Linked DNA regions of Drosophila melanogaster. The protein of the gene in region 1 interacts with the protein of each later gene in a pairwise test. Each region holds a gene or a part of one and is shown in the gene's direction. Other genes may lie near its edges.

Region 1 (10,061 bases):
CGTGGAAATAATCGCAATCAAATTGAGAATCATACTTAAATATGTACATGCACGTGTGTATGTACATATGTACACTAAAAAGGATTTTTCTTTCTTTTGCGATATATAAATAAAACTTACAGCAAGAATTCTCGAATAAGAAGTCCCCCATCATTGGCAATATTTTTTCAGTTCTCAAATGAAAAAGAGCCAACTTATATTGTACTGCTCGAAAAGTTTGGCCAAAAGATCTTTCCAGGGAAATATATATGGGTCAATCGATATACACCGACAACAAAATCAGAGATGCATGGATAAATGGAACTACCCACTCATAATATACCAATATAATACAATATACCAATTTTCTAAGGTTAAATTTTACTCAGCTAATGGGCGATTAGTGTTACCAGTGTTACCAAAACGTGCAGAAGGATTCAAATCATTTAAAAAAAATTTATAAAGCTAATAAGAATTAAATGAAATGGATTTGGCTACTGAATAGACTAGATATTATTATTTGTCATATTTTGGTTTTTCTGTATTTAATTTATTTATTTTTAAATCCTTCTAAAATAATGTAATATTCAAATAAGACATTTTTTTAATATGAAATAACAAGCTTGTTGGAGAATTATAAATTATAAAATGTTAAATTAAAAAAATAATAATAACAACAAACGAAATAACTTTGTTTAGTTTTTACCATGCAATTATTGCAGTTGCCAAATAACTAATATAAATTACTTTCCAGCTATTTACAAAAATTATGTCACAGCAAGAAGCAATTTCATCCCAAACGACTACGCATTCAACAGGAGACTCGTTATATTCGAATTAATCGATGCCAGCTGCTTTGTGATGGCATACATGGCGCTGCCAACTCGCACACAACTATCGACGGCCGATAATTCGGGGACGACTGACTGTTGTGCGCGCGTTGACGCTGTGCAGCACTGGCAGAAAACTACGCAACGTCGATTGCTATCCCGCTCGCACTCACGACTCACCCGACTCTCCAACTTCGGAGGCAACCATGTCCCAGGCGTTCTCACTCGGCAGGCGCTTCCTATAGTTTTCGTCGGTACGATCATAAAGCGCAGTCTGCTTCTCCACTGACCGCAGCAACATCAGGTTCACCTCAGAGGCGGCGCTCATCGCTAGTTCACTTTGCAAGAATCCAATCGAGAGAGCTCGCTTCGCCAGGAATTTATCGGTTTTGTGTTATGCTACAAACGCAAACGCAATTCACACAATCACAACACACGCGCGCAGCAGCTGAGACTAAAAACGGCGACCGACTGCAGCGAAAACTAAAAGCGAGTATTGAGCACACACACACAGCCAAGTGAGAGTGTGAGCAGAGAGCGGCGCCTTGCGTTGCAGGGAAAAGCGAGTTGGCAGGCCGAACGGTCGTTGACGAGGGTTGACCAAGGTGGCCCCGGATAAATTTATTTTTTACCTGTCGGGCTAGACTATAATATTTTTTTACGTTTATAAATAATGTTTTTTACGCGTTGTTCATAATTCTCAAAACCGCTCAACCTTGTTTTCCAGTTTCTCTAAGATTTGTTAGCATTTATCTTAAAATAAAATAACTTCATTTGACAGCCAATACAAATATGAAATATTTTATTTTGTACATTAATTTAACCAAAATCGTAATATTCTTGAATAATTTTTATAATTTACAACATTTAGGGGTGGTCATTAATTAATTGGTAAATGCGTTGGCAGCACCTCCAGCGATCAAATGGCACTGCCAACACCAACTGCTATACTATTGCATTAAGTCTGGCAGTGCTGTCTACTTTGAGTGAGTGTGCCTTTCATTGTATGTGTGAGATCCAGTGGCATGTCAATTCTCTCTCAGAGAGGGTTGTATGCTGCTCGAATGGTAACCCCCGCTGATTTGCGAAGAGAATGACTACGCCTCTGGCTTTCCGTTTGTTGTGGCTCCTTTCTTTATTTATTTTGCCGGTGTTTTATATTCTCCGCCCGTTAAAGATTCAAATGTCCAATTCGAATCAGTCTAGTGCTCATGTGCTTTAAAATCAAGAACAATTGCTATTTGAAATTGCAACATTCATTTACAACTGCATCACTTGTTGGCAGCAGCACGAAATCGCAGTGTTCAAAGTTGCTAAACACTTGTAATAGCAGCAACTCCGGCGTCCACGCCAACAACTGCCGCGTGCACGGAAGCAACGAGCGGCTTGAGCCCGAACTTAATAAGCCAAAACTCGTGATAAAAGCACTGACATCGATTAATTGGAGCATTTTTAAACCTAATTCACGTAAGTTTAAACGAAAGATCTGGTTTCAGAGAAAATAACTGTTGTTGAAAGCGGAGCAGAGAAGCAAAGTAGCGGCAAACAGCTGTTGCACGGTCAGGCGACACATGTTTCAGATTCGATTTCGGGTCTTCTACTTTAACTCTATTAATTATATTAATTAATTAAATTTGCATATTTAGTTTTTATATATGAAATGAATACACGCCGTCGGTCCATAGCTCCACCACCGAACGTTTACGCCATCAATGCCAAAATATGTCATTTGGTGAAACTACATCCTTGTCTTTACGATCGTCACGATGACAACTACTTGCGGAAATCGACTGTGAAAAATGCGTGGAAGGAAATATCCAATGAGATGCGAAATTCGGGTGGGTTTTTATCTATATTTCGACATATTGCATATTAACTAAATTTACTTTAATTATTAAATTTACATTTCATTAGGAGATGTTTATATTTTTATAAGCACGATTTTACTATGTCGATACATAATATAAAATAAAATATAATCTCTTATAAAATCTTACAATTTATATTATATAAATATTATATAATATTATCTTACAATCTTATTGACTGCTATTGATCATTTCAGTTAAAAGCTGCAAGGAACGTTGGCGCAACATTCGCTCCAGCTATGCCCGCTCAATAAAGTTGCATCACGGTGCGAATACGTACTATCTTAACAGCGAGCTGAAGTTCCTGCAAAAGCACATCACTCCCGGAGTGCCCGTTCCGCTCAGAGGTCGTAGGTCAAGACCCAAGGGACAGGAGGAGCACGACGAAGGGGATCCCGAAACTCCCGTAGAGGCAATCCTCGAGATGGTGCACTCCCCGAGCTTTCTGAATTCGGAGCATGCGCAGAGCCGTCACAGCACCGACCCTGCATCGGCGACGGACGTTGAGGTGGGAGCAATACTCAGATGCATTTTGCTGAGGCCTTAAATTATTACAACCTTGTTTAGCGTTATGAACTATACTTTAAAGTAAAAAAATGATGTATGCTATATTTTTGGTCAAAAGTTAAAGCTGTGCAAATTAGCTTAGTTTTATACTGTGTGCCCGTTTTTATTTCAAAGCTGAAATTTGCATTTATAATTTTAATGATGCAGTTTCCTTTAATTCTTCAGGCAACACAATTTAATAATGAACCATCATCAATCATGGATTTCGAGGACACGGTCCCGGCAGAAATGCGCACAGAGAGCGACAGCAGTGAGAAGGAGGCCAAGGTGGGAGAAATTACTTTATATAGAGTGCCATTGCTTGAATTCCCCAAAGTAACAATCTATTAAGTGCAAAATTTAATTTGTACAGCGTTTATTTATGATTTGTTATTTTCTTATTTCAGACATCAACCCGCTGTATTGAAGCATTGCCAATCATGGATTTCGATGACGCATTCCTGCAGGGACTGCGTCCCGAAATCAAGCACATGAACTTCCACCAGAAGCTGTACTTCAAGCGACGTGTGTACGACCTGCTTGGCGAGATATTCCATTCCGAGCAGTCAGCCTCATCAACCCACCCAGCGCAGCCGCATCCCAGGGAGAATGTCAATGGAACGCTATCCACTACCTCGAGTCTCTCCTCGGCGAATCCACTACAGCACATGGGACTTATGCTGCAGCTGCCAAAGCTGGTGTCCAAGGCATCCAAAGATTTGTAGCTTGCGAACTGCTCATTGAACAGCTTTAATACACTGATATCAAATTTATGTACAGTACATAGGACAAATAACATTTTAAGTTGTTTTTAGAAATGTTCCCATAATGTATAAACAGAAAAATGTGAAGTTGAAACTAAATAAATAAATTTTTCTAAATTTAAAACTAGACTTTTTTGTGAAAACTAAAATTTTTTTGTGAAGGAAATTAAAACAATCCAGACAATTTAAAAAAATTACATTCAGGTTAATTTCATATATGTTGTATGTTTATTTTTAGCAAATACTTTTGTATACGTAAACATTGTTTTTGTTGTTCTTTAAATAAAATAATAATTATTAAAATAATATACATGTATAACGTTCCCGTATAATTTATGGCATAAAATATAATTGTTTTTTTTTTCGTTATGTTTTTTTGAATAATAAGTTGTGTATAAGGAAATAGGGCTGCCCGATAGCTGGCTTCAATTTGATTAAAGGTTTAAATACGTAAATTAGTCTCGATTAGTAATATGTACAATCATCGATCAGTTATAGGTAGGTAAGCAGGGCATGAAAACGTTGTAAGGGTTTAAACAATTGCACTTTAAATTAAATATCTATCAAATTAGGCATACAATTAAAGGTTCGTTTAAATGCAAAACAAATCGCTCGCAGCATTGATCCATCGAATTGGCAAGACCCCCAAGGTTAGACCGGTTAAGGGGTAACCAAGCTAATTGGCTTAAATCTATGAAAATTGTGGCGCATTCTTCCCCATCGTTGGTATTTCATTTAGACCATTTCATCTAGGCGAAACAAATCTTGACCGGTCCCAGCGGCAGTTGCTTCATATAGTTCCAGGCATCCACACGTGTCATCCGCGACGTGGAGGCACCATTGATGCTAAGGATTTCGTCGCCATTGCGCACCTGGTTGGTCTTCTGGGCGGCACCACCTGGTTAAGAAACACAACCTTCATTAATAATCGCTTTAAAGGAAGGATGACAAATTAACCTTACCCATGAACACCTTTTTGACAATAAGGGGACGATTTCCCAGCGGCGAATCAAAGCCTCCTTCGATGGAGAAACCCAGTCCACAGCTGTCCTTAACAATCTCCACACAACGAGCTCCACCTCCACTGGCCGCCGCATCCTCCGCTATAATGACACCGGACTCATTAAAATAATTTATGAACAATGGACTTTTTGATATATACGATAGGCACAGGAGTTTAACAAATTTAATAAAAAATATTGGATAAATATTTCCATTTTTGTACTATACAATAAATTGCACAATTATCCGAGTATTTTCAACAAATAATATATATATTTTGATTAATGGAATTTAAATTGACTTACTGTTAATGAATTTACTGGATGTGTAAATAATGCTTATGCAAATTGATTTCATACAGATTTTTTAGATATAACGAAAATGCAATGCAGATAGTTCTTTTACGATTTATGTATATAATTTTTAACATTGTTAAATTATTTTTCATCTAAAAGGCTTACTCACCTTGTGCACGAATCTCAGCTGCGATGGCATTTCTGGCCTCTGCCGCCCGTTCCAGGAGCTCGCTCGTGCTAAGCTTGGCGGCATCTCCGCGGGACAACTGCCTCCTGGCCCGGATACCTGCGATGGTGGCCTCCGCATCCTCGTCGTGCAAGCTCGCCGGCTGCGGTGGACTTACGGATCCCGTGCTGGGAGTAGTAGCCACTGGCGATTCACCAGCCTCATTGGACACCAGATCAAGATCCAAGTCCAGAGATCGGGAGGCCTTGTGGTAGTTCCTCTTGCGTTCATAGTCCAGCTCCGTGGGTTTCTCATTGAGCGAGCTAAGTGATCCCAGGGAGGATCGTTTCTTGGTCAGCGCCTTCACCACCAGCGACTCGGAGCGGGTCACCACTAGCACGACCTCAGGTCGGGGGGTCTGTTCAGAAAAAATGTTTTAGTTAAGGTTGAAGATGAAGATTACTTTCCCTAGATTACAAAACATTTAAAATACCTTAAGCACACTGATGGATTCGCGGTGCGTCAGTCCGCGCATGCTCATTCCATTGACGGCAAGGATTCGATCACCCTTCTTTAGACGTCCATCCTTGGCAGCTGGCGTGTTGCTCAGGATCTTATGGATCTGGTGGGTATTGAAAGAAGTTACATTAAGATCACGTTTAAAAGTGAGAATGACAAGCGTTAACTCACCGTAATTTCCTTAGCCTCATAATCAGAACCGCCGGCCAAAGTGATACCGATGCTGCTCTCGGGATTTTCCCTCTGCAGGACGATGATGAACGCTTCTGGGGTCTTTAGTGGAGGATCAGCCTCCTCGACTATCTGCTGGACATCCTGGGCGGTGATCAAACTCTGGTTGCTACCCAGCGAGGAAAAGCTGCCGAATTCGGTGGCCGTTTCCTGGGTGGTGCTCACGTTTTGGGTGGTGGAACTAACGCCGGAGGAACTGGACGCCAGGGAGTCCAGCGAGGAGAATCGCTCATGATGCGGCTTCTGGGTGACCTTATGGATTACGGGCGAGTGGTTTTGGGTTTGAGCTTGGGCTGCAGCACTCCTTTCGAACTTTTCGCGCAGTTCGGCGGTGGTCTGTTGCTTCAGCGGTTCCCTTTTCGCAGATGGTAGCAGCATTGGGAGGACCATAGGTTTGACCTGCTCCACTTTGACCTTAGCCTGCTGGTTAGGATCTCCTTTGAAGCTGGCCTTGCGCTCCTCGTCTATGAACATGGCACTGATCTTGGCAGGCGTATCAGATCTACGGCTGCTGTCGTCCGTATCCGAGGTTAGTTCCACATAAGCGGCCACATTGATCAGCTTATCCACTACCAGTTGTTTGCCCAGTTGGATCTGTTGCTGCTGGAGCTTATAGCTGGAAATCGGCTTCATTCTACGATTGGCCAGGGAACAGGCTTCACCATCGGTGCTGTCGTTATCCTCCTCTTGACCTCGACTCTTGGCACTGCGACATTTGGCCGAGGCCAGAATACTTTTGCGACTGGAGAGCGCAACGGCTTCGCCATTGATCACCTGGCTCTTGAGAACCCGCCTGGTTAGATCCACCGCTGGTGTGCTGCCCAGCGAACTGCAACTGGCTTGAGATCCGGCAGAAGATCCTGATGTTAGAGTAGAGGTGTTTGAACTAGCTATCGAAGTGTTTGTTTCGGAGCTGAGGGTTCTGGTTAGTGCAAACTTCTCCGGCGGAGTGGCAACCCTAGCAGTGTGCGAAAACACCGAATCCGTATCACTTTCCTGATCTAAAGGAGGTGGTGGTGGTGGTATCATCATGCTTCTCGGCTGAAGTGGTGTCAACGATGTCCTGGGTGGTTTGGCTGGTGGTTGAGAGAGCTGTTGCTCCAGGGGTCTTCTTTGATTGGTATTTAAAATGCTGCGATAGTTATTTGCGGCACCTCCTGCACCCAATTGGCAATTCCTATTCACCGTACTGCGGTGGCTTTCGCCTAATCCGCTATCCGTACTATCCTCTCCGCTGGCTGCTTTTACCTGGCTTTTGATCTCCGGCAGATCCAGGATGGGTTCCAGCAGTTGGGGTCTCTCTGGTATGACCAATCCTCGCAGTTTCGACAAACTTCTTCTTCTTTGCTCTAGGATATTTGTAATGGCTGCCTTTCGGTTGGCCGCATCTCCGCCTTCTCCCGAGAAACTGATCCTTCTCTCCACTCCAGAAGAATAAGATCCCCCGTGGCTTCTTCTCGGCAAAGAGGCGTAGCTCGGTGTGGGCGTGGCTGTGTTCAGGGAATACATAGAGTCGGCCACGTGCAACTGGGGCAGCTGTTTGGCCAACTGATATTGCCGCTGAACATCATTCAAATTTTCCACGCTCATCGCGCGAGTTTTCAGCGAAGGAGCCGAGGATGATGAGCAACTGTCCAGAAGATTTTCACTGCTCCTATTCAAGGGCTTCCGGGTGAAGGAGCTTGAAATGGGGGCTGTTGCCGGAGCTGGCGGTATGGCATCCAGTTCGTTGTTTGACGAGAACATGGCAATCTTGTCGCGCACTGATTTCTCCGACTTTTCATCCTTGCGCCAATCGCTAGGCTTCCGGGGAGTACCACCACTCAGAGATCTCTGATAGTCCCTGGTTAAACTGGGTGCTGGCTCTACGTTGATGACCAAATCCTGGCGATATACTTTCCTGGGAACTGTGGCTGGTGGCCCCGTTTTGGGAAGCGGTGGTGCAGAGGACTCATCCTTTCCGCCTTTCTGTATCTCGTAACTCAACTCGGTGGTGACCTTTAGTGGGTGGCTGTGCATGATCAGTGGTTCGCTGAAATTGGGTGGAAATTCATGACCATCGGGCGGCAGGCGGGAATATGTGGGTGGTGAGGCGTAGCTGAGGTAATCCTGCACCAACAGCTGTTTAGTGGTGGTTGCCTGATGCAGGTGGTGCGTTGCTGTCGTCGTTGTCGTTGTTGTTCCTGTGTTGCTGCTCAGCAGCTCCATTTTGCCGGGGATCTGGGGTGCAGCAGGTTTTGTGGTTGCCGCCTCAGTGGATGTCTTCTTAATGCTGCTGCTGATTAAAGTTGCTGCCGGGATGTTGCTACTGGCGTTAATGCCGCTAATGCTGCTTATATTGCTGTGGTGGTTACTGAGGGTACCAAGATCTGCAAGAGGATTGTAAAAGAGAGTGGGAAAGGTTCTGGTTAGTCAAACATAAAACACGGGGAAGAAAACAATTGGACGGAAAATAAGGTACCTTACGAATGTATACAACAATTTCCAATATCAATTTAATAAACATAGGAAGTAACCTTATAATATTTTTAAAGTTAATTTTGTATAAAATCGTCATAGGGTTTGCTAAGTTAAACAGTAGGTCATGTAGTATTTAGTTTAAAGTTTTTGAGTTAGTTCTTTAGAGATAAAAGTTAGCAACATATTGGGTATACGCAAATATCCTTAATTTTGACCAACTATAGGTAATAGGAATTCGAGTAGTGCGCTGTTGGATAATCGAAAAAAGAAAAAGGTAAATGTGTTTAAATACTATTTAAAAGGTCATTTCCAGCAAAGACAAAAATCATTTAAATAATAGTCAATTAATTGTCGGGGGAGAGCTCTGTTACAAAACTTTAATAATTATCCATCCATCCATCCTAGCCAGCGAAACTTTCGCTTATAGCAAGCCCCCAAATAGTTGTCATTATGCGCTAACCGGAGACGAAAAACAAAAGCGAATCTTACGGATGCGATCCCAGCAATTAAAAACCGCAACAATAACAAGAAAAATCTCGCAAAAAGCGAGAAGAAAGAGAAGGTTCAAAGAGGCGGAGACAAAGATTTAGGCAAACAAATTATATGCGAAGAAAACAAAACTTTGAAAACAAAAACAAAAGGGTTTTCCAAAAAGCGAAAGTCGCCAAAAGAATGGTAGCGATTCCCTCAAGCGAAGAGTTGACAAAAACCTTTATGCACAAAATTAGCCAAACTGTGCTGCCTCATTTTTCGCATGTTTTTCTGGGTCACTCGGGGGTGTTTCGATGCCAATTTCTATTTAAATAATTTATTGCTTACTTAGAAAGAGTTTCTAATGACAGCATTTAGTTTTGATTTGTTTTATGGCTCTAAATCTAAACGGAATTCGTCATAAATGGGAATACGGGCAGGCTGCTGAGGAATGCTTCTTTGGACTTGTAACAATTTGCATAATTAATTGAGCAAAAAATGTAAAAACAAAACGAGGCTAAATTTCATTAAAATGGAAAACGCTGCGTGGATTTTTTTCCATTTTATCTTTTACTCTTTCTGCCTTTTGGCCACACACACAAAATGTTAATGAACTTTAGCAAATGTAAAGTTCGCCAAAAATAAAGAGAGAAGAGTAGCAAAAAATTAAAAAAAAAAAAAAAAACATAAGAATTGTTTAATGAAAAGAAAGGCAGCAAAAAATCATGTTTGCATGTGCCGAAACCAAAAAAATGGTTATGGCTGAAAAAATACAAGCTGAAGAAGTGCGTGAAAAATTGCAAAATGTAAAGTCAAGGGCCTATGAAAGAACTTTGACCTTGGTCATAAGAGGAAGAATCAGATTATCTGTGAATTTGGACGAATTCGTCATGATTACTATTTTTTAATATAATGTATGGAATCGTTCG
Region 2 (10,061 bases), on another chromosome or scaffold:
AAGCTGCTCCTGTTCGGTGGTCTTTGGCACTAACCCTACCAAGGAGTTGGATCGCAACAGGCTTGACAGCGTGTTTCCGGAATAAAAGCTGCGCTCCGGTGGTGCAATCTGCGTGATCGAAAGCGTCGGCGCCCTTGACTTGTAGGGCAACGGGGAAGCGGGCGCTCTGCGCGGCTGCGTCAAGGGATTGTAAAGATTGCTGGCGGACATGCTGCGTTGCAGACCACTGCGTTCGCTTAAGGCCACGATCCGGGATGACAGTCCGCTGCTATGCACATCGGCAAAGGTTCTGAAAGGTATGAAAATTTGATATTGCACTTTCGTCACATCGTGAAATGGCACACAAGCTTTGACTTACCTGGGATCAACCTGACTGAGGTTCAGTTTCTGTCGCGTTATGGTACTGGACGATGTGGCAGAGCGATTCATCAAGGACCGCTCCGGAGTGCGTGTGCCATTGAGCGAGGTATTCGACCCCTTGGGACTCAGTCCCCTCAGGAAATTACTGGCCGCCGGACGATTGTTTCTGAACAAAGGAGAGCAAATTTGATTAGTAACCGCTTAGAATCCAGTTGGACAGGTGGTGTCTTACAACAGCGACGCGTCAATCCGCGTGGAATCCGCCATGGGTGACATGCTGCTCATGTTAAAGCGACGACGCTCCATGCTGCCGAAGGTCAACAACCGGTATTCTCACAGTGCAGTCGGGCGGAGGGGAACACTTTTGGCGGGTGAATCAAGCTTCGTCGTAAACGATTGTGTGCAATCTCGTTTCTTTCTTTTTTTAGTTTTATTAATTCTAAAGAGAAATGCAATGTGAATTTCATAGGAAATGGTTACTGTGTGACCGTTGGTGAAGCGCCAAAATATACCAAAATCTTTAAGCCTTTGGCTAAATAAACGATTAAAGATAAAAAATAATGTTTAATACTTTCTCCGTCAAATGTATTTGGAAGTTTCGGGCAGACGTGTAAACTTGAATAAAAATTCTTATTTTCACTCCAAATTTATATTGAAATATGTCAGGATTGCCACCTTGGATACTTATTGGCAGGGCTGCACTGCAGCATGTGTCGATTATTAAATCGGGTTAATAAAATTTTATCGCAATTTAAATGTTTGCACTCCAATTAAATGAAAACATTGCTTTATTTCTTATATCTAATACTTGTTTTTTAATTTAAATACTATATCAGCTTATAATTGTAGTACCTCCGCACCAATGGTTTTCGCTTTTGCAGTGTGAAATTTAGATCGCAGATGGGCCTTTAAGTGAGTGTTGCGCTGGAAGGATTGTTTGCAGATGGTGCAGCTGCAAAGGGAATTGTATTAAATTTTGGAATACCAACGCCTAGTCAAAAAATACTCACGCAAAGGCTCGCACTCCTGTATGGATTAGTTCGTGCCGCTTGCGTCCCGAAGCTGACTTAAAACATTTATCGCAATGATGACAGCTGTAGGGTTTGGCATTGGTGTGAGTCCTAGAAAGGATTTTTTTTGGTTTGAGCTCAGAAATGTCCGAATCCGTAGTGGATACAAGGATACGTCCCTTACCTTTCGTGGATGAGGCGAGTGTTGCTATTGTGAAAGGACTTGGTGCAAAAGCGGCAGTCGTATGGCTTCTCGCCCTGGTGAATGATTCGTTGGTGCAGCGTCATGAGATGGTCGGTGTAGAACCGCTTGCCACACTGCTGGCAGGCGAAGTTCTTATTGCCCGTGTGCCGCAGCATGTGAAGCTTGAAATTGCTTTGGTCGGTGAATTGCCGGCCGCACTGTTCGCAAACACACTCGCGTTTACGCTGCAGTCGCTTACGCTCTATGATCTGCTCCTCGGTCATATTTTTCCACGTAACGTACTGTTTTTTCCGCTTGGGTTTTGTGGTCGCTGGCTTCGTTGACCGACCTGCTGCACTCTTCGATTCGGGCAGCGGTGTGTTTGGGTTCGATGATACTTCATATTCGTTTATAGTTTCATTGAAATAGGAACCGTTTTGGGGCTCCATGTAATCGTTGTTATCCGAGTTGCTGTCGTCGTTGCAAATGCTCTCAAGTTCTTTCTGTACACTTGAGATCAGAGATTCGACATCTTGAGAATCCTCTTCGGCTACTTCAGCCATATCTTGAAGCGCATCAACATCTTCAACAGAATCAATATAATTATCCTCATCCAGATCATGATGAGCATCACTATCATGATCCAAAACTTCTTCTGGGGATTCCACAATGTATTCATCGACTTCCCCGAATGGATCGTTCAGACAATCCGGCGGTGATGCCATCTCCTCAACATCTTCAGCCGGTTCCTTCGCTTCGGGAGATCTACGACGATGGACGAGCTGCTTCTGCGTTAGGATGCACCGCTCCCGGAACAAAATCGCTTGGTTCAAGTCAAGCGTGCAGCAGGCGCATATGCTGCTGGGCAGCTCTGGATCGTTGTGGAGCTGCAATCACAGAAAATGCTGCACAAATCAAATGGAAACCATTTTTCTTACATACTGTTGTGCCAGTGACAAGATTTATGTCTTGCAGCATCTTCTCGTTCTCAATATGAAAGAGATTCTTGGGCATTTTATTGTAGATGATGCTGCCGCAGGTCCGGCACTGGAGCGCCATAATGTTAGTTGAAAATCAACCGAAGTTTAGCCCAACTTCAGTTTAATTCGAATATAAACAACCAATTGTTTTGTAAACGCATCCACTACACATATGTATGTATATATATTGTGATGCAACAGCTGGTTTTATTATCGACAAAATCGATAAGTGCGGCAATGCCATTGTGTGACTTAAATGATTTAAAAAGTGCAGTAAACCATTATGGTACTCTTATTAAATGAGATTATAAAACATATTTGTATTTATGTTACTTCATAAGGTACTAATCCCTGTGCAAAAACTCTAAACAGCGTTTATGCGTGCAAAAGTTAGAGTGACCATGCAAATAGCTTAACGACACATTTCGCATAAGCTGCTCGAAACGTAAACAGTAAACAATTATTCAAAAACAAATCAAAGTCGAGATGCGAATTCTGAATTGCCGCATTTGCTCTAGATCAGATGCCCCAATAGACCTTTTTGGTCCAGGAAACGGTCATCTAGTTCGTCAAATTCACTCCATTACTGGGGTGGAGGTAATATGTCTAAAAATATTCCTTAATCATGGCACTTAATTTGCTATTTATACTTTCCAGCTAAGCTGCAAGAAAGAAATATCCGGCCAAATGTGCACGACTTGCCTGGACAATCTGCAGGCAGCCATTAAGTTCCGCCAGCGCTGCATCATTGCCGAGAAACAGAATCTGGAAAGGATTGAGTGCGACAGCAAGGATTGCTCCACAGATCCAATAATATACGAAGACATCGATGATAACCAAATTGAGAGTGAGTTGGACGAGTCCATTCTATGTCCTGAAGTCAAAGATCTTCCAATGCCAAGTGCTGAAAAGGTCTCAGCACCGACTAGTTTGAACCATCAAAAGTCAATTGGAGGAGGTACTGGTCCATATGTATGCCCTGATTGCGGAAGGATCATTAACAATAAGTCAAACTTTCAAGAGCACACGCTCCGGCACACAGGCATCAAGAATTTCCACTGTGTTTTTTTGTAAATTATCCTTAACCTCCTTTGGGCTAGTGCACCTAAGATACGATTTTTCTCCTCAGGAATTGTGAAAGGAGCTTTGCAACTCGAAAGGAACTGACTAGCCATACGCGTATCCACACGGGCGAGCAGCCATACGTGTGCGTCTACTGTCCACGTCGGTTCTCCTCTTCAGGCGCTCGCCAGGAGCACCATCGCCGCCATCGGAACGAACGCCGCTACGAGTGCGACACGTGCAAAAAGAGTTTTGTAAGCTCCGGATGTCTCAGGAAGCACAAGATGATCCATGTGGATGCGCGGAATCACTAGTGGGCATTTCGATTTCTGCCAACTCTGCACATTATTTGTATTACACGTTTCAACACACTTTGATTTTACAGCTGCTACGTATGTCAGAAGCACTTCAAACGAATCTCCCATTTGATGACCCACCTGTCCAGCAATATTCATAAACGCAAAGAAGAGAAACTCACGGAGCTAGCCATTGAACAATGAAGCTGCCTATCTAGCCATTACACTAATTAGCTATCGGTAAGAATTCTAAAATTCCGCGTCCTTTTCTTTAACAAGGTAGACGTACATTTAAGTACAGGTATTCGCATAAATCCATTTTATGCGAATATCTAGCATATTTGGTTTTACTTTTTGTTTCCCTAAGGAATAGAAGAAGAGCCGCATCCCTCCCGACTTCCAAACGTTTTTAGATTTTGATGTAAAACGTTACAAGTTATAAACCTAAAAAAACAAAACATATTTACTTGTCCAAAAAAAGAAGATTTAATTAATCCTGTGCCATTCGATTATTATTCCATGTTGTAGCTTCCACAAACGGTAACAAAGTCTTCGACAGAGCACAAAGAAAAGAAACAATAAAAAACGCACACTCATTTAATGGCCAAAATGATGTTAAAACTACCAAATAAACGCACAAAATCAAAGATTGTAATCGTGTTCCAATTTTTTTCTCGAATATATGGACGTAATAAAAAACATTACAAAAAATATTTGTGTTTTTGAACAAGTTCTTTAACCAAATAGTAATAAATCAAATCCGATTATTTTACACATCCGGTCTGACCATTTGTACTCTTTTTTATTTTACAATTTTTATATATAATTAAATGTACATTAATGAATTATCTAACAGAAATTGTATTGCATTGTTTTCGACTAATAGCGCCCCGTCCGTTCGTTTTTGTGGTGTATTACAGTCTGTTGGTGGGTCATGGTGCCCAAATGCTGATCCAACTGGTGCTTGCGGGAAAAGGTCTTATTGCAGACTCGACAGCTGAAAAATTAAAGGGAATTTAGGGTTATACATGATTAAAGCAGTCAATGGACCTACAGAAAAGGCTTCTCGCCCGTGTGGGTGAGCATATGGTTTTTTAGCACGTTAGAGTAGGAGAATGCCTTGCCGCATGTGGAGCAAGTGAAAGGTCGCTCGTTTGTGTGTGTTCTGCAAAAGGAACAAGTATAGTTTATATGAAGATTACTATGAGGAATTGCATCTTCACCTTTCATGACGAATATTGGAGCTGCGATCCGCAAACGAGCGGTTGCAATATTTACACAAGAATGGTTTCTCGCCCGTGTGAACGCGGATATGGCGATTTAGCTCGGATGGACCCGCGAAGGATTTGCTGCATATTCTGTAAGCGGAATAAGATTTACATAATATAAAATGGTTCAGATGATAATTTCAGATACTCACTCGCATTTAAATGGTTTCTCGGCCATATGACGACGCATATGAATGTTGAGAGCGGCTCGCTTGGAGTAGATATTGCCGCAGATTTCGCACATAATGTTCGTGGAGGATACTTCGGGAGATGATTTGAAGCTAGCTTGAACAGGCGGACGCTCCTCGCTAAAACTGCGTGGGTGTCCGGAGCTAGCACCGCGAGGTCGGCCACGTCCACGTTTAGTCATCCGCGTTTTACGCACCTTAGCTTTGCGGCAGCGCTCGATGGGCTGGTAGTCGCTATCGGTGCTATTCGGCACCAGCAAGTCATCCTCGTCCAGGTCGTCCACTACAGTGCTAGTCTCGTAGGCCTGCGACGTTTCCCCGACACCATCCTCCAGGGGCTCCTCCATGATGTTCTCCATTCCGATGTCATCCTCGACACCGTCGATGAAGTCGTTGGCCGATTCGTAGATGTACTCAATGTTGTCAGCCACTACGTGCGGCACCTCGTCCGTTGGCTCCGACTTCATCTCGGCCTGACATGGTACCGGGTCAAGTGGGATGTTTATATGTGGCCCATCAACTCTATACGTACCTTGACTACATTGGTGGCAAATGTGCGCTCGCTCTCCTGGCAAAGCTCCCGGAACTTGTGGGCACTGGTCAGTCGCTCCACGCAGCTGTAGCACAACATACTGGGGATGTTCTGCAGCGGCACCAGCTGAAAGCACAGAGTGGGTTAAGTCGCAGGATTTTACATTTGCATCCACATGTACCTTTATGCTGCCCACTTCTTCAATCTTGCGCACCAGCTCCCGGCACTGGGCGTCGTTGTCATCGAACAGGGGCGCCATCGCCTCCGAGTTGATGTCCTCTGTCAAGCAGATTCGGCACAACATGTACTCGGGCATTATCTTGCACGTCCTGGACGTACGTATGCTTGCAATTCTGAAATAAACAAGCGTCTTGGAACTTTTCCCAGGGTTGTCATGTACGCAAAACGATAAATGGCTATCGAACTTGCTATCGGCATATCGATTGAATAATTGATAATAATTAAATCTTAATTTTTTTTTTTAAACTAACAGGTGGGCCCTATTAAATATTTAAGCTTGAGTCACGCAATAAAAATACAGTTTTAGAACTAAATGCAAAAAAATTTGGAATGATAGTTGAAAACTGTTACTAATTCCGCGTACCTGACAACCCTTTTACTTTTAATTCACTGCTCTGGCATTTGAATCGGCATTTGACGCGAAAGAGGGACTTCCTGCGGAAATAACGATGGAAATCAGCATTAAATGGAGCATGTGCCGCACTTGCCGCAAAAAAGGAACGCAATCCACGCTGCAGTCGCTCTTCGAGTCCAATGCCCACAAGCTGTTGATCTCGTATGCCGGCACATCTGTGAGTACTCGATTTCTGTTTGGCTTCCAGTTTACCAGTTACAAATCCTCTCTCCTAGGTGAAACCGGATGATGGACTGCCGGATCAAATTTGCACAGTCTGCTTGATGCAACTGGAGGAGGTGGACAGATTTCTTAGCGCGTGCAAACAATCCGACGCGCACCTGAGAAGCCTCGTTCGTCAAACTCTGTCCTCCGCATCGGCATTTGAGACGCTGGAGGATAAGGACCAGCTTGAACAGAAAAAACGCGCCAGGAAGCAGAACATTTCGGGGAGACTCATCGAAGAGAATCCTATTAACTTTAAGACTCAAGAGAATGCATTGGAAACGACCAAAGATGATGAAATCTTACCCATAAATAAATTTTCAAGCGATTTCGTGTTCGATCTCAACGTGAATGCGGAAAACGAGAAAGACATACACCAGGAGGACTATACCATCAGTGATATGGATTTGGACAGGGAGATCTCCGATCAAAATTACTCCGAAACGTATTCGCAAGAAAGCAGCGCTGCTACGGACAGTATTCAAGAGACAAGCGAGGATTACCATAATCTAGAGCCAAGTGCCGACTACGTGATAGATCTAGGAGTGGCCTGCGAGCCGGACAAGTACAGATGCAAGATCTGCAGCAATACATACCGCTGCTTATCTCAGCTAAATGCACACTCGCAGGTGCACCGCAAGGAAAAGGACCACCAGTGCGAGTAAGTATCCGTGATATATCTTAACATAATATTTCATATATAAAATGTATGATTCAGGGTTTGCCAAAAGACATTCAGAGCCGCCTGCAACCTGAAAACACACATGCGGACGCACACGGGCGAGAAACCTTACCAATGTTGCTACTGTTCGCGCCGTTTTGCCGACAACAGCACTCATCGCAAGCACGAACGGTAGAATGGACAAAAACTATATATATTGTGTACAGCATTTAAGTTCCAATGTTGAATTTCTTCATTTCAGTTTGCACACGAATGAAAGACCCTATGCTTGCAACATATGTGGAAAAACATTCTCTCTGTCCTCCTCTCGTAACGCTCACTACTACCTGCATTCGTCTGAAAAGTCTCACAAGTGTCTTATGTGTAAAAAAGAATTTCGGCTTAAGCACCAACTTACAGCGCACGAGAAGTCTCTTGCGCACCGTCTGATAGCTAAGGAGTACAGCGACGTGGTAGAATAGTTAATAAAAATAGCTGGTCTATTCTGGAAAAGTGGCTTTATACTACTTATAATAGATAACCCTAGTTCCTCAATTAATTTACTATATTAGCTCTCTAACATTTCCGGAGAGCTGGGAATGGTTTGCTCCATTTTGTTGCGGTGGGTTAGCGTTTGCAGGTGAGCTTTCAGCTGGTGCAGCAGAGTGAATGACTTGCAACAGATACCACAGCTGAAAAGTTCAAATTATTAATAAAAAGTGCAAATCACTAGAAAGGATTACTCTCCCTTACTTGTAATTCTTTTGGGCGGAGTGCGAAAGGATGTGATTTTTGAGGATGGCTGTGTGCGTAAAAGTTTTCCCGCACTCCTGGCAGGCATAAGGACGCGTGTTGGTGTGGACCCGTTCATGGCGGACCCGTTCGCTGCGATCGTAGAAGTGGCGGTCGCAGTACATACACTTGTATGGACGGTCGCCCGTATGACGACGGATGTGTGCTCGCAATTCGCCCATTTGTCGAAAAGATTTATTGCATATTCTGAAAGCAATAACATTTTTGTAGGATAAATTTGTTCCTTCCTAAACCTTAATATCACTTACTCGCATTGGTGGGGCTTGTACTCTGAATGGGTCATCATGTGGGCCGTGAAAACAGATTTCTTGTAAAAGACGTTTCCGCACAGGATGCACATGAACTTCTCCTCTTCCTTGCACTTTGGCTGGTTCCCCCTTTCCTTGGCGTTGATATCCTTGCGTTTGAATTTCAGTTCGGCGTCCGGTTTGCGAGGCCTTCCCGGCTTTTGTTTGTCCATTTTGAAGCTGGGATGTGGCGAAGGAGCGCTTGACATGAGAAGTTCCTCGTCCCCGTACTCAACCTCATAAAACGTGTTTGCATTGGATAATTCCTCGACAAGCTCACCCTTATCATCAATGAGTTCTTCCATTTGTTGATCATCAACGTAGGAGTCCATGTGGGAAATCAGAATCTGCTCAGGACTTTCCGTATTAGGCTCTTCGTCCTCCTCAATCGATTCGTTTATGATAAATCCGTTAAAATCGAGAACTTCCTGGGACTGATCCTCCTGCTGTTCATCCCCCTCCTCTATTGCGGTGATCTCTTCCTTCTCCTGATTCTCTGTGCCTAGTTTCAGATGTAGGTTCTCGTACAGATACAACATATACTCGGCATCGCTTGCCTGGGCAAGAGCCTCTGGTCTCTCCGAGGAACTTGTTTCCCAGTAGACCTGCGAGTTCAGGCACATCTGGCGAAAGTTGAACCACATTTGGACGAATTCGCAACAGCTGTTGCAGGCCTTCTCGGGCAGCTGCGGGGATTGGCGAACCTGGGGGAGTTGGAGTAATGAAATGATACATATAACCCATCTGGTCAGCTCCATTTACCCTAATCCTACAGCACAGCTCCAACTTTTTCCTGAGGTCACTTTCGCCTTTATCCCCAAACAGGCAGATCATTTGGCTCTCTTCGAAATCGCCCAAGCAGATCCTGCATTGCAGAATCACTGGCAAGCTGGCCATCCTGGCTAGCGTTTTTTTGCAAGGGGGCTGGAAATTAAGGCTAATTTCAATTAAATGAGTTTTAAACAATTTTAGACCTGCGCTGTGTGACCGCATTTGCCATGAAAAAAATACCTACAAGTGTTTTAAATACATTTCAGTTTAAAGTTACCATTAAGCCTAAACTAGCTATCAGCTACGAAAAAGCTAAAAAAAAAATACTGAAGCCCCTTCAAACTATTTATAGCGCCGCCACTGCATCTGTGGTATTATTTAGTGCCTTTCATTTTCGAGCCGACGGCGTGATTTAGCGGCTCGGCGGCAGCCACACTTAATTCGCCTTTCGAACTGAACGAACGTGCCGCGGCATCTGCAATTTTCTGTGCATTTCCACTTGCATTTTGTGTGTTTCACTTTGTTACGTGTGTGCCAGTTTTCCATTTAATCGTTACCGATCGTCCAATAAGCGGCTACAGCGGCAAAATGATCTCTAACTTTGATTGCACCGATAATCAGGCCAGCAGCAAGTAAGTACATCAAATCAAAACCAAGAGCAGTTGCCGGCATATTTGAAAAATAATCTACGCGTGTGCATGTGTGCGTGTGGGTGTACACGATGGTATTGGTTGGGATTTGCAGATTTGCAAAAACAACACCGAGTGCCGTTCTTTGCTTCTTCCTTTTT

The links. Proteins that work in one complex are often made in the same cells at the same time.
Region 2: the proteins of CG3919 (region 1) and Zaf1 interact in a two-hybrid assay, tested with the Drosophila melanogaster proteins (one large-scale study listed by BioGRID).

The regions. Positions count from the first base shown.
Region 1 is NT_037436.4:14,408,626-14,418,686, forward strand, and holds CG3919 (uncharacterized protein), read left to right. Parts: upstream 1-2,000; 5' UTR 2,001-2,276; intron 2,277-2,455; 5' UTR 2,456-2,469; coding exon 2,470-2,647; intron 2,648-2,874; coding exon 2,875-3,185; intron 3,186-3,409; coding exon 3,410-3,559; intron 3,560-3,630; coding exon 3,631-3,948; 3' UTR 3,949-4,107; downstream 4,108-10,061. Other genes in the region: stwl (stonewall), read right to left, coding at 990-1,137; bbg (big bang), read right to left, coding at 4,737-4,885, 4,950-5,090, 5,455-5,869, 5,945-6,073, 6,142-8,570.
Region 2 is NT_033777.3:11,619,546-11,629,606, reverse strand, and holds Zaf1 (ZAD and architectural function 1), read left to right. Parts: upstream 1-3,962; 5' UTR 3,963-3,981; coding exon of another isoform or gene 3,982-4,096; 5' UTR 4,097-4,132; exon of another isoform or gene 4,133-4,338; intron 4,339-4,420; exon of another isoform or gene 4,421-4,556; intron 4,557-4,658; exon of another isoform or gene 4,659-4,771; coding exon of another isoform or gene 4,772-4,889; 5' UTR 4,890-4,946; coding exon of another isoform or gene 4,947-5,057; 5' UTR 5,058-5,115; coding exon of another isoform or gene 5,116-5,250; 5' UTR 5,251-5,252; intron 5,253-5,304; 5' UTR 5,305-5,312; coding exon of another isoform or gene 5,313-5,821; 5' UTR 5,822-5,880; coding exon of another isoform or gene 5,881-6,006; 5' UTR 6,007-6,061; coding exon of another isoform or gene 6,062-6,196; 5' UTR 6,197-6,215; exon of another isoform or gene 6,216-6,268; intron 6,269-6,373; 5' UTR 6,374-6,569; coding exon 6,570-6,692; intron 6,693-6,750; coding exon 6,751-7,400; intron 7,401-7,457; coding exon 7,458-7,592; intron 7,593-7,662; coding exon 7,663-7,882; 3' UTR 7,883-7,968; coding exon of another isoform or gene 7,969-8,092; 3' UTR 8,093-8,141; downstream 8,142-10,061. Other genes in the region: CG14712 (uncharacterized protein), read right to left, coding at 1-289, 359-526, 593-666; CG18764 (uncharacterized protein), read right to left, coding at 1,198-1,312, 1,371-1,481, 1,555-2,441, 2,497-2,613; CG6813 (uncharacterized protein), read left to right, coding at 3,021-3,131, 3,192-3,604, 3,664-3,909, 3,982-4,096; CG14711 (uncharacterized protein), read right to left, coding at 4,772-4,889, 4,947-5,057, 5,116-5,250, 5,313-5,821, 5,881-6,006, 6,062-6,196; CG14710 (uncharacterized protein), read right to left, coding at 7,969-8,092, 8,154-8,399, 8,462-9,204, 9,263-9,397.